Rhinolophus ferrumequinum: one gene and its partner. The protein of the gene in region 1 binds, or shares a complex with, the protein of each later gene. Links are inferred from orthologs where the notes say so. Each region holds a gene or a part of one and is shown on either strand. Other genes may lie near its edges.

Region 1 (7,395 bases):
GGTCACTGGAATGCTGGCCCATGGGACATTCATGAATACAACTGGTAATGGGTATCCACGGAGAAAAGAGAGGTACACGGGTCAAAAACGTTAGGAAACACTGAGCACTCACTATATTTCCTTTTGTAGATGCAAAATACACACTAGTCTAGTACATTTTCTGAGGTGACCTTGGGAAACAAATCTCTTTATTCTCTGTTCAACCATTTGTTTCCTTTATTTGCTTGAACAAAGCCTATGTGTCTTTATCCTCTTACTGACAAGCTGTTCTTCATTGACTATAACATACCATTGATTGTAAGATGTAGCGTTACTTCATTTGCCACTATGAAAGAAAAAAAAAAAAAAAACCCGGCCAAATATAATTGTAATATGTTGTCTATGAGACACGTTATGATTTGAGAGAGGTTACATGTGAAAAATGTGAAACTTAAAATTGTTGATTAGAATCAGATTCAGTTCTTAAATATGTCGAACTATGGGGACCTTTCTTCTCTGAGCTAGACTATGTTGTTATTGTTCACTTGCAATTTTCTTTTAATCACCTTGAAATAGATATTACAGGATGCTAAAGTTGTAGCACAGATAACCCACTGAAAAACAGAGATTTGTGTTTCCTTTCATAGTGTAGAATATAACTGGTGCTGTGGGGCAGTACCATCAGTGACAGTGTGTGTGTGTGTGTGTGTGTGTGTGTGTGTGTGTGTGTGTGTGTGTGTGAGTTTTGAGTGAGGGTAACAGGCTTAAAGCTCAGGAGAAAGAGAGCCCTTGCAACTGGGTATGGCCTTGGGACTAGTTTAGGCCAATGAAGTGAGAGCAGAAATGATACATGTCACTTCTCAACAGAGGTAGTTAGTATCTATGGGTCTTCAGCACACTCATCTCAAAATCTGGAGAAAACTTGGAGGCTACATGCTGAATATGGAAGCATAACTATTGGATGGAATCAGATTCGGCGTAATGAAATTAAAGGAGCCTAGATCCATGAATTATTCTTGGAATACCTCCAATCAGGAATATCCTCATTGAGAATTTCATGAGCAAGAAATACATTTTTGTATTGTTAAGTAACTAAAATTTGGAGGTTGAGCCAGCACTTAGCTTAACCTAACACAGGTCAGCATTGTTCTTTCATTATTTCTTACTGAATATGCAGTACCTGCCAAATAATATTGAACACGTCTTCCAGAATGCTGGTGAAGAGGGGATTCCTCCACTGCCTGAGGATTACAGGTCCCGAGTTGACCTGGCTGCACATGAAGGGGTTGGAAAACCAAGTTACTTCCCATGCACCTGGCCAAGTCTCTAGTACTGTGCCCAAGGTGTAATTATTACTGTGCTGCAGTGAAAATTATGGGCCCAGGATGGTGGCTAATCACCACGTCTTATTTCATTGTAACACTGCAGTCAGAGCTGTGTCCATCAACAAAAGCAAGTTAAGATTTGCTAACCGAGGGAATAACTTCTCTTTTGTAGTTGATGTGTAGCCTGTCTTTTGGAAGAGGAACACAGAATCGAGATATCTTTGATGACTGTCAGTGGTACTCCCATGAAAGGGAAACACCTTTACAAGGGACGGTCCTGAATTCTCTAGTCACAGATAGAATTTTCCAGGAAGAGTTCTGTATGTTACATGTATTAACATCTCATGAAACATAGTCTAGAAGACCATGTTGAACCCTTTCTCTCAGGCCTCATCTTGACCATTAAAGGGTTTTCTCTCCAATGACAGGAAGATGATCTTATATTACTCTATTTATTTAAGTGCTGTGTCCTAATAACAGGTTTAGCTATGTCTTGCTGAAATAACACACATTTACTCTTCTCAGGATGTGGAGTGGTGTGTGTGTGTGTGTGTGTGTGTGTGTGTGTGTGTGTGTGTGTACATAGGGGACCTAGAGCCTCGAGGTCTGAGTAATTCACAGCCTCAGAATACTATGAACATGGCACGTGGTGATTCTATTTGCAATTTTAGAAAGATTGCTTTGATTTCAGGATAAAGGATGGATCGATAGAGTTGCTACATTAGAAGAGGTGAGTCTGGTATTGCACTAATCTAGGCCCAGGTGTGTAATAATAATTGGACAATTATTATTGGACAATTGTCCAATAGATGGAAAAATTCGAATTATTTTATAGATAAAATTTCTAGGACTTGGTAGAATGTTTTGTTTTAAAATGTAGTATTTCTTAACTCAGGTGTGGGGAGACCAACAGATCAGGAAGACTGTCATTGAAAAGATAGTCTGTTGCTCACAGTTTCCAAGAGGAGGGGGCATACCACCCCATGCAGGGCCACATGGAGAAGCACCAGGGTTCCTCGGGAGGCAGAAGAAGTGAGGGCAAAACATAGGCAGAATCCTGTACTGTGGTTTCTGAGGGAAAGGCGAGGAAAGGCAGGGGAAGCAGACTTGAGATTGGCTAGTTTGAATAATTTTAGCAGGCTCTGGGGTACTGGGCTTTTCTCTAGTTGTCTGGTAGCTGGCCTGGTGATGATAAGGGCAAAAGAATACAGCCTCCTAAAGTATAAAAGCCTGATAGAAGAGGGGGTTTAGCAATGGGCTTTGGATTGGTTAGTTTGCATATGAAAGGTGAGCTCCAGGGCAAATCATCGGCTATCTCTAAGGATTGGCTAGCCCTGGGAAGGGCACTCTATCCTCAGCAAGACCCCCTGCCAGAGCATCAAGAATACAGGAAAAAAATAACAAAATATAGTTGATATACTTTTGATGAGAGAAATGCGGAAGCCAAGGAGATATCCATTTTGGGTGAGTACGTAGCCGTGGCATGCTATTAACTCTCCAGGGAACTAAACTTTATTGAGCACCTACTATGTGCCAGGCACTTGGCTAAGACCTTGACATAGTCCCAATACTCAGAGCGCAGTTTTGACAGGGGGCCTATTTTTGGCTTAATTTTAGAGCTATGTTAAAGAAGTCTGCAAGTGTTTGCGCTCAGGTCCTATCACATGCTCCCTCGCAACTTGATTTCGTGTATTTTGGATCTGTGGTGCCTGCACAGCATCTTGATAGCAATATCTAGGTACCATGCCAATAATATCCCCCTTTTGTACTATGTTCTTATTTAACAGGAACACTTGCAGCATTGCAGATACTGTCCTAAGAGCTTCACAGATACCAGTTTATTTAGTCCTGTGACAATTCTTTGAGGTACATATTATTATCCCCATTTCATTCAGATTTTCAATTATCACTATAGCTACCAACGTATGGAATATACATACAGAGGAACCATGCACTAAACTAGGAGTTTGATGTAAATTAATTCAATTCGATCATGCAAGACAAATGTGGTCTCCATTTTAAAGACCAGAAAATTAAGGCTCAGTGGCTTATATCATTTGACTACTGTCACATGACTTGATTTCTATGAATCTCATGCATGCCAGCTTCCATTGTTATTAAAGCTTTTACTCCATTGTTCAGACCAGAAATTAAGGCTCGGTAATTAAGTGACTTGACCAATGCCACAAGGCCATAAGTTAAATCTCCCAGCCTGAATTTGAATTGTAGTATATTTGATTTTTCGTCTCAATCTTTTCCTACCATTCCTGTACTTTTCAAACTGTGTTTCACTGGAACTTCATTTTTAATCAGTTTCATAAATGTGAGTTTCTTCCCATGATTTTAGTAGGATGGATGGAACTATGGATGTTGATGACCTAACCCCTGACCTCAGAATGTGACTGTATTTTGAGAAAGCGTCTTTAAAAAGGAAATTGAAGTAAAATGAAGTCATCTGGGTGGGCCTTAATCCCATATGACTGCTGTCCTTATAAGAAGAGGGGATTAGGATACTGACACACAGGCAGATGGAGCAGATGGGTGCCTACAAGCCAAGGAGGAGCCTGGAGAGAAATAAAACCTGCTGACACCTTGATCTCAGATTTGCAGCCTCCGGATCTTTGTGAAAAAATAAATTTCTGTTGTTTAAACCACCCACTTTGTGGTACTTTGTTATGACAGCCCTAGGAAACTCCTACAACGGTGTTTCCACAACTAAAACAATACTGGAAAACCATCATCCTAGATAGTTACACAGAGTGACCAATCAGATTATTTCCCTAAGTTCACTAACACTGAGGTCATATGATTTACTGGGATAAAAGCCAGCTTCTTCTTGTGGTGACTCCAGCCACTGGTATGCAGACATTTTCTTCTTCTTCTAACTTCCCCTCCTGAGAAAGGGGAGGTAATTATCAGCGAAACAAAAGTCCAGAATGCGAAGCTTGCCACTTTCACTTCCTCTCTTGCCCCTTAACCCAGCTCTGTTTTGAATACAGTAATTGCCTTGGGGCACCGGAGCAAGGGAAAGAGGACAGCAGTGCCTCAGAGTCTGCCCGGCAGGCGGTTACAGCCTAGCATGCTCTCACAGGTGCATTTCTAGTCCCAGAAAATGCCGGGATGATGCCGCCCACCCGCCTGGCTGGGACTCTGATCCCAGCCATGGCCTTCCTCTCCTGCCTGAGGCCCGAGAGCTGGGATCCTTGTATGCAGGTATGTGTTCGGGGTGAGTTCATGGCCTGCGTGCTTTGTTTTGCTTCTGAAAAACTTCCTTCTGCCCAGAGTTTCCCACTGCTGGCTTTGGTTAGCTTTGTGTGCAAAACAGAGTCAAATTACCTTAAAGCCTTGAGAAGCCACAGGGACAAATAATTCATGGTTACCAGGCACTAACAGGCAGCCCATCGGACCGCGTCACATGTAGGACTTTAGGTTCAATAGACCCGCTTAAAATCACTGTTCTTAGGCTTCTGGGCTGTGTGACCTTGAAAAAGTTATCAAACCTCTCTGAGACGGGTTCTCACATCTATAAAAGAATTATAATAATGTCTACTTCAATAGAGAGTTTGTGAAAAGGCTGCTTCCTGTCATTCCTTTCCACGGTTGTCTGTACACTCAGCTTCAAGCAGTCACTTTGCCCCTTTGAATTTCAGCAAAAAGATGTTTTCTTGCCTCTTAATAGAAAGAACTTTCTAAAAGTATTCCAGACTTCTGAATCTAGTCATAGTTCTCTCCAAAGGATGAAAAGAAAAGATACTGGAGAGAAAAAAGAGAGAGACAGAGAGACAGAGAAATAGAAAAAGACAAAGAGAGGAAAATACAGAGAGGAGCGGGGAAAAGAAAAAGAATGGCATAAAATGTCAGTTAATGCAATGGTGTCTTTCTTTGTGAAACACCAAACATCTGGTTTGTAAACTCATTCATGATGGATCTCTTTTTGTTTTTCCCCTGCATGGACTTCACAATTGCTTTGGAAGCCCACGATAGAACCAAAGATCCAAGAGAGTGTCCTGGGATTTAGGGTGTGGCAGGGTCAGAAACTCAACAAAAACGTAATCCGCGTGAGTTCTGAAATTGAGCGAATTTCAGAAAGGGAATAGTGGACTTTCACATATAACAGAGATGAAGTTGTTACTTCAGGGACCTCTCTTCCTCCGATTCCCTGCCCACAGCCCTAGTCCTTTTCCTCCTCTCTGTAACTGCCCTGCTTTAAGATTAATGAAGAGAGATCCTTCAATCAGTGTCACCCCTGGATAAAATCACACCCGCTGCTGGCCCTCCCTTTCCTCATGTCCCAGTCTCCAAAGTCTGCCCATCCCCCTCAGTGTCAATCTAGCGCAAGTCCTTAGTTCCCCTGGCCTGGACTCTTGGATGGTGACTGGTCTCCTGACTCCATATCACCTTTCCTCTAATCCACTCTGCGCATTTTTGTTTGTTGTTGTGTTTTAACCTGAGGCTGGGTTCTAACAAATCACCTGATTTCAAAACATAATAATGCTCCACAGCTACCAGAACTGTTTCCTACGGCAGGACTTTTGTACTGGCTATTTCCTCTAGCTATAATGCTTTCCCCACACGATATGTAAACTTCAATAATAAATTGAAGTATCTATATTTAACTAAGTTTTAACTAATTAGTAGACACATTAAAAATAAAAAGAAACAGGTGAATTTAATTTCAATAACATTTTTATTTAACCTAGTATATTTGAAATATTCAAAATGTAATATATACAGAATTATTAATAAGATATTTTAGACTCCTTCTTTGGTACTAAGGCTTGAATGTGTGTGTGTGTGTGTGTGTGTGTGTGTGTGTGTGTGTGTACATAAACCATACACCGCAGTTTAGACTATCCACATTTCTCATGCTCAGTAGCCTTGTCCTAGATATTTTCATGGCTTAATGAGATATTTTGATATATTTGATGAAATATTTTCATCCCTCACTGCATTCAGATCTCTGCTTAAATATTACCTCCTCCAGACGTCTTCCTTGATCACCTCATATAGAGTTCCTCACTGTCACCCCATTATTTACCTCGAATCTCTATATATCCATCCCCATATTTGCCTCGAATCTTTTACACTGCTTTATTTTGATAGCACATCACTATATATATATATATATATATATATATATATATATATATATATATATATATATTTGTTCATTGTCTTTCCCTTTGAAATGGATCTGTAAGAGGGCAAAATCATTGTCTTTTTATCACCATATCTCAGTGCTTAGCACATAGTAGTTGCTCAATTTATATATGTCAAACAATAAACAATATTGCCAGAGGACAAAGTATGAGGCCTTGCCTTCTCTGGCTTAGGGTTTCACCACTCCCTCCATATGCCAGCTAATCTAAACTAGTTTTGCACTCCTTCTTACTCACACTCATCTTTTTCCTCTTTCCATGTATCCAAATCTTGTGCATCCTTCAAGAACCACCTTAAAAAATCTCTTTCTTAAAAGCCGTTTACCATCCCTGGATCCAGAATTGATCTCCACCTTTCCTGAACCACAGGAAATATATTTATGGCTCTTTTCAGTAGTGTGAGTTATGCTCCTGCCTTAACCCTTGCTCTGGATTGTGAGCTCACTGAAGTCTGGAGCAATATCACGCTGGTCTTTGTACTGCCCAAAACACTAAACAGAAAGTGCCTACAATCTGGATTGAAACAAACCTCCATTCAATCAGTTATTCATCTATTTATTCCACAAATCTTTATTAAGTATTGACTATCTGCCCAGCTCTATTCTGAGTGCTGGAGACATAGCAGAGAGCGAGACCGTCCAAGCTGACAATCTAGGGAGGGAGAGAAACGATACACATGGAACCATCACACGGACAATGTAATGTTAGCTGGTGATGCCTCCTGTGAAAGAGGATAAAAGAAGAGTGCATGGCACCGTCCTCTCTTAGACAGTACCGTCTGTGAGTCTGTGAGGCTCTCATTAAGGGTAGCAGTCACGGGAATGTAAATAAAGCACAGCAAAGGGAAGAGAGTCAATAATATTGTAATAACTCTGTATGGTGTCAGATGGGTACTAGACTTATTGGGATGATCACTTCGTAAGTTCTATAAA
Region 2 (7,185 bases), on another chromosome or scaffold:
GGGCCTCTGCCTGCCTATTCTCTGACCTACGTTACCTGGATAAATACCTGTTGCTATCTTGGCAGTTAATGTGATTTATATCTTTCTATAAAAAATGATTCCATCAAATTGTTCATTATTAAATATTTGAAAGGAGAAGCAAGAAAAAAAATCACTCCTAAAAAACCCCAGCAATGTTAACATTTTAAAGTTTTCTTCTAAGGGTCATGTTCATCATAACTTGTTTAAAATGTCCTGTATCTGTGTGACCATTTTGTTGCCTGTGTAATGGAGTGAAAAACCTAATTTAATTAGAATAATTCTTCAGAAGACAACTTGGTTATTTAGGGAGAAGAAAAAAAGCTTAATTAAAAGACAAAGTGAGAAAAATGACTTCTCAAGGGCATAGAGGAGTGAGACCAGGATGCAGAAACAAATCAGCGTGCATAGGATAACATGATTCATCACTGAAATAAGTCAGCAGAAACAACTCAGGCCAAGGTAAGGAGGAGAAATAGAGGCACATCTGTCCATGCCATTTCTCTACCCTCACCCCAGGCAATGATCTTGGAAAGATAGGGAAGGTGATGAGTCTCCCACTATGTAGGGGACAGGCATTGAGTCACTTCTGAGTCTCAAAAGGCAGGGTGACCCTGGCTAACATCTGGGTTCCATCAGATAATATACCCTTAGACAATAAAATAATCCTTTTCCTCAATGTAGATCTTATTATACTGGAAGACTTCAGCTTTGGAAGCAAAAGTAACAAAATGGCCATTTGATAGGAATGATAGTCTTAGCTTGGAAACATTGTTAAGATTGTGTTCCTTGGGGGCGGCTGGATGGCTCAGTTGGTTAGAGCACCAGCTCTCAACAAGGTTGCCGGCTGCGCCCTCTGCAACTAGATTGAAGGACAACCACTTGATTTGGAGCTGATGGGCCCTGGAAAAACACACTGTTCCCTAATATTCCCCAATAAAAATTGTAAAAATTGTATTCTTTTTTCAGAACACTGTACTTTCATTGTAGCTTTTTATTGAGAATTCCAGACATTCAAAAGGATAAGAGTACAATGAAATAACATGACCAGTTTGTGGTCAATATTATTTCATCTAGACCCAAACCACTTGCCCTCTACTTTTATTTGGAAGCAAATCTCAAACATCATAACATTTCTTTCTTAACTGTTTAGTTTTATAACTATAAGGTAAGGACTTAAATAAAACATACCACTATGATATCTAAACTGCCTCCCTCCTAATGTTATCAAATATCTGTTCAAATATCTGATTTGAAAGTCTGTTCAAATATCTGATTATTTTATAATTACCCCCCACATTTTGGGAGGTTAAGACCTGAGTAAAATTCACATCTAACACCAATTTTTGAAATGTCTTTTAAGACTTCAAATTATGGATCCCTTCATTTTTTCGCTTTCCCCCCCCCTTGCAAATTATCTGTTGGAGAAACTGATTTGTTTGTCCTTTATGTGTTTTCATGGTCTAGATTTTCCGATTGTATCCCTGAGGTATCATTTAATGTGTTTCTTTGTCTTCTGTATTTCCTGCAAATCGATAGTTGCACTTGAGGCTTCATCCGGTTGAGGTTCGATGATTGTGGACAAGACTAACTCATAGATGATGTTGTTTGTAGTACCTGTTGTGTACCAAATTGCCCCTGAAACTCAGAGGTCAAAAACAACAACACATGGATAACATTGCGCAGTGTCTCTTGGTCAGGTGTTTGAGGTGACTCAGGTGAATGGTTCTGACTCAGGTGTCTCCTGAGGTTGCAGTCGAGAGAGCTGGTGCTGCTCTCATCTGAAGGCTAAACTGGGGCGGGAGGAACTGCTTCCAAGATGGCTCCCACACATGACTGACAAATTGGTGCTGGCTTTTTGGCAGGCGGTGTCAGTTTCTCACCACATGGATCTTTCTCTAGGGCTATTTGCTTCTCCCAGAGCAATTGATCCAGGAGAGCAAGATGGAAGCCACAATACCTTTTATGATCTACCTTGGAAGTCATACATTGCCATTGGGCAACATTTCATTAGTTCTACAGTCAACCTTATTCACTGTTGGACTACACGGGATTTGCCTACCAGGAAGTAAGGATCACTTGGAGGCTGGCTGCCATGGTGTTAAGAGGTACACGATGTCCTTCGGTCTCTGTGATGTTAGTTAGCAACCATTGATGCTCAATACCTTAGGTGTTGCAAAATGGTAACATCCTATTATTCTTTTCTCATAAATAGCTGAAATATTTCTAAAAGTAGAGGAAAGAGTATGAGAAGGCAAGGGGAAGTTGCCACTTTCTACGATTTGGTTACCGGTAGTTCAGTTTCTACAGGAAAGTCAAGATAAGTGCTTGATTCTTTCCCTTTTATTTACCAGTTTTCAAAATAGAGTTGGTTTCCTAGCATCTGCTGGTGATTAATTAGACTTAAAAAAAATTATTATGGGCCCATGGATTTAAATATCCTTGATGTATTTCCATGCCTTGCAGTTACTATCTTAATGTTCACGTGTACAGGTAGGCTGAAGTGGTCCCCACGGTGTTCAGGTCTGGAAGCTGCAAATGTTACATCATATGGCAAAGGGGGTTTTATAGACACATCTTGAGTTGGGAAGATTATCCGGGATTATCCAGATGGTTCCAGTGTAACCACAGGGTCCTTATAAGGGGAGGCGGGAGAGCAGAGGAGAAAGCAATGTGACGATGGAAGCAGCGATGGGAGTGCTGAACTTTGAAGATGGAGGAATGCAAGGATTGAAACTCGAAGCTGAGAAAGGCAAGGAAACTGGTTGTTCCCCTAGAGTCTCCAGAAGCAACCAACTCTGGCCACACCTACTGTAGCCCAGTGGCACTGATTTCAGACTTCTGATCCCCAGAGCTGTAAGTGAGCACTAGTGGATTGTTTTAAGCCACTAAGTTTGTGGTTATTTGTTACAGAAGCAATAAGCAACCCATCTTTGGTCAGTGGGACTATCTTCAAATTGATTCTCTAATGTGAGATGGTATTCCAGACTCATCTTGTACATTTTCTGCCCCAGACCCGGAATCAGCAGTTTCTCCAGTCTTTGTTCCTTGTAGTGGGAGATGGTATTTTGAGACCACTAGAGGCATTCACCTGGCTTTTCCTCCCTTCACCTCCACCCCCCACTTTCTAAACACATTTTTAAATTATGGGGAAAAAACATATAACAAAAATTTGCCATCTTAACTGTACAGTTAAGCACAGTTTAGTACAGTTCAGTATGGTGTTTGCTATATTTACATTGCTGTGTAACAGATCTCTAGATCTTTTTCATTTTGCAAACCTGAAACTCATATCCATTGACTAACTCCCCATGTCCCCACCCTCCCATGGATTTTTGCCTTTTAAAAAAGGGGAAAGTAGCACACTTCTTTAGTGAAACCTTTTACCAACATGTGATTATTTTCCTGTAAACTTAACAGATTTTGAGGCCCCAACTCCATGCCCTTTTTGGCTACGAATCCCAAACTACATCCTATAAAGAATTTCAAGTAACAAAGCATCTAAAGGATTCGCTGTTACTTTTTTACTAGAATGGAATGAAGAGTTTTGAAATACATGTCACACACAAAGCTGCGGCCATTTTATTATTAAGTTTCAAAATATTTCCTGGAGCTGTCGTTCGCTCGCTTGAGTAGGTGCATTTTCAAGTGTGGTGGGTCCCTGCCCACAATGCAGAACCGCAGTTAGCGTCCCATGTCTGGGGTGTCGTCCAGCCCGGCTCTGCCCCGTGGCTGAACCTGTGGTTTGCATACAACTATTCAGTGCAGATCTACACATCCAGCTCTCTGGGCCATGAGAAACTGTGGAAAGAGCCTGTGAGAGAGAATAGCAATGCAGATGGAAAAGCGGTGCCAGTCGGGTGGGATTCTGAAACAGACCTACACGCTGATTTTGTTACTGCTGACTGGGAAATCCCTTGTTTTATTGTTAAAGCTCTTGGTCTCTCATGTGCATCAAGTGTTGGAAAAGAGTGTCTTTGAAATCATTTTGTTTTCCTCTTGCAGGAAGTGCTCAAATATCACACACACACACACACACACATACATAAATACACGCAAAAGGGGAAACAGTTGGATCGGAACGTAGAAATCATGTGACTGATGACTCAGTTCAATCTTTTCTACTTACTGAAAAGGAAGTCTGATGATTTAGTTACTGACTGTCCTTGCATTGTTTTTTAAAGATTTGGAGATAGTAAATCATGTTCCCGTTTATGCTCTTTTCCACTCTGTTTTCTTCCATATTTACTGACCCTGGGGAGCAACACTGGGTCTGCAACTCCTCTGATGTGAGTGTGTGGTACACCTACTGTGGTAAGTAAAACAGCAACAAGTCTTCGCTTCAGCTATTGTGAGGGGGATTTTTCACAGGAACCTTACTCTCCTGTCGCTGGGACGCAGCAGGAAATGACTACTTGCAGCTGCCAGCAGGCTGCAAGACGGATGGCTGGACACCCCTGTGTGGGTTTTTTCGATTCTTCACAGACCTCACCAGCTCTAAAACCATTTTGTACTTGACCTGCAAGGGCCTCTGTTGTTCCCTATGCTCAGCTATCTCTGCCTTGTGCCCAGTTTCAGATTGTTCCGAGTTTCAGGGGAACTGTCTGCTTCTGAGCTTTTTTTGCTACTTCTTGACACAGAGGAACAATCCTCGCTGCCCCCTGGAATTGATGAGTGCTCCAAACTGTACTTTTGTTTTGTTTTGTTTTGTTTTGTTTTTCCAGCACAGTGTTGGGTGTATAAAGGGTGCTCTCTATGTGTTTCAGGCTTCATCTCCCTAATTGGATATAAGCCTGGTTCTATCCCTTACAGCTGTGTGACCTTGAGCAAAATACTTAGCTTCCATGTGCTCCAGGTTTTTTTTAATCTGTAAAATGAAAGTGGTTTTAGAACCTATGTTATAAGCATTGGGATGACGTAACATTTTCAGTACAGAGCTGCATAGAAACAGTCCTGAGTACTTCTTTTTTTTTTTTTTACATCAGCCTAATGATGCTATTAACTGGTTGTATTGCTGTCCGCCCACCCACCCCGACTCCACCACCTCCCCTCCCCCCCAAGCACAGTTTCAGGGCTTGACCACTGTTTCAGTTTGTTTTGGTTTGGTACTTCCCCCTGCCTTGCTCGCCTTGGGCTGGCTGGCCTTTTCTGCCCACTGCTGCTAGCAGCAAGGTTTAAAGGGACGCTTCCCAAAATATTAGTTCTTTGAGATTCTTTTGGGGAAAGGGATGTACGGTCTACGCATTTGGGGGGAATTTACAAATGTACTTTTGAGTTCTGAGTTCTGCAATGAAGAAACCGATTTAAGTCCCCAGATTTTCAATTGTATTGCATTTTATGTTTTGAGTGTGCGTTGACTGTCCTGAGAAACAACACAGTCCGGCAAATGCAAATAGAAAGTTACTTCTGCAGAATTAGAGTGATTGCCAACCTCACACTCGTGGCTTTTTTCACATACGTGGATTGTGCTGAATTCCCTCTCAGCTTACCTCTGAAATGTCTCCATCCTACGAAATCGCTGTCCATGGCTCCCTTCCAGGAAGGCTCCCCAGTCCCCTCGGCCCCCACTTCTCCCCTCTCCTTTCGCCCTTCTGCCCCACATGTCTTCTCTGTGCTGGGTTTCAGATGGCCTGCAGCTGTGCAACACTGTGTATTCTTATTAGCGTTTCACCTCTTAGTAACAATAATTTGATGTGTCTCTTGATTTGATTGTTGAGGGAGGATCTTGCCTCTTTCTAATGCTGAGAAATCCAGTGGTCCTTCCTTGCTGCCCACCTGCTGTCAAGACTACAGTGCCGCTCTACCTGCTGCCACTCCCTTCTCCACTTAAGGGAATCCTCGCGGAAAAAGCAGCTGCGCGGGAAGCACTGATTCCACTCGGTAGTGTCGTGAGGGTGTGGACGACAACCAACCCTGATTCAATCCTCTCTGTGCGAATGACTCCACTTGGCCAAGCTACTGGGTGTACGGTGTATTAGCCTGCTAGGGCTGCCATAGCAAAACACTACAGACTGGGCAGCGTGGACAACAGAAACTTAACTTCTCACAGTTCTGGAGGGTGGACGTCCAAGATCAAGGGTCAGCAGGTTAGGTTTCCTTCGGAGGCCTCTCTCCTTGGCTCGCTGTGTCTTCATCTCTTCCTATGGCCTTTTCTCTGTGTCATCCCTAAACAACCTAGTATATATATCTCACAACAATAGGTTCAGCTAATATCTCCCAGCAACAGGTTCAGCTAATATACATGACCGTATATGGATATTAGCTGAACCTGTTGTGGTAATCATTTTATAATATACAAGCGTACGTAAATCAAACCACCATGCCGTACGCCTTAAACTTATAGTAAAGTATGTCAATTATTTCTCAATAGAACTAGAAAAGTAGAGAAAAGAATCAGTTAAAAAGTCCCAAAATGGGGCAAGTGATTTTATAAAAATATATTTGGGGGAGTCCCCCCCCCACAAACACAGTTTAAAGTAATTTAGTACCTTCGACACCCACTGTAACAATATAAGGACATTAAAACACTCATCTATTTGCATGAGGGGGAGATTTCCTTTCGATATTCGTACAACATTTTCTATTTTACTTTGCTGGGGCAAGAACCCCTTATATGAGCTCTACCCTCTTCAACTTCTAAGTGTATAACAGATTTGTTGACGATAGGCGCAGGGCCATTCAGCAGATCTCTAGAGCTCATTCATCTTGCTTGACTGAAACTTTATGCCCATTGATGACAACTCCCCATTTCCCTCCCCCCAGCCCCTGGCAGCCACCATTCCACTCTGGCTCTATGAATTTGACTATTTTAGACACGTCACGTAAGTGGAATCATGCAGTATTTGTCCTTATGTGACTGGCTTGTTTTTATCACAAAAGGGTGTTGAATTTCATCAAATACTTTTTCTACATCTATTGAGATGAGGATGTGATTTTATTTTTTTTAATCCTTCATGTTATTAATGCACATTAATTGATTTTCATATGTGGAACTCTCCTTGTGTCTGAAGGAAAAATCCCACTTGGTCACGGTGTATAATTATTTTAATGTGTTGTTGAATTCATCTTGTTAGTATTTTGTTTAGGATTTTTGCATCTATATTTATCAGGGATATTGGCCAGCAGTTTTCTTTCCTGGTTGTGTCTTTGTCTGACTTTGGTGGCAAG

Evidence for each region.
Region 2: the proteins of TLR4 (region 1) and LY96 are in contact, whole or in part, in a crystal structure (PDB 4G8A), measured with the Homo sapiens proteins. The link is inferred for Rhinolophus ferrumequinum from reciprocal best matches to the Homo sapiens genes TLR4 and LY96. Residues at the interface, in NP_612564.1 of Homo sapiens: Gln39, Met41, Glu42, Asp60, Ser62, Phe63, Asp84, Ser86, Arg87, Thr110, Gly111, Val132, Val134, Glu135, Asn156, His159, Ser183, Ser184, Asp209, Leu212, Arg234, Val259, Glu262, Phe263, Arg264, Asn265, Glu266, Arg289, Ala291, Tyr292; in NP_056179.4 of Homo sapiens: Met40, Tyr42, Ile66, Pro67, Arg68, Arg96, Ser98, Asp99, Asp100, Asp101, Tyr102, Ser103, Phe104, Arg106, Leu108, Lys109, Gly110, Glu111, Thr112, Thr115, Thr116, Ile117.

The regions. Positions count from the first base shown.
Region 1 is NC_046295.1:68,786,224-68,793,618, forward strand, and holds the start of TLR4 (toll-like receptor 4), read left to right. Parts: upstream 1-4,154; 5' UTR 4,155-4,424; coding exon 4,425-4,517; intron 4,518-7,395.
Region 2 is NC_046297.1:8,797,542-8,804,726, reverse strand, and holds the start of LY96 (lymphocyte antigen 96), read left to right. Parts: upstream 1-4,116; 5' UTR 4,117-4,220; coding exon 4,221-4,332; intron 4,333-7,185. UniProt on the Homo sapiens protein: Binds bacterial lipopolysaccharide (LPS). Cooperates with TLR4 in the innate immune response to bacterial lipopolysaccharide (LPS), and with TLR2 in the response to cell wall components from Gram-positive and Gram-negative bacteria.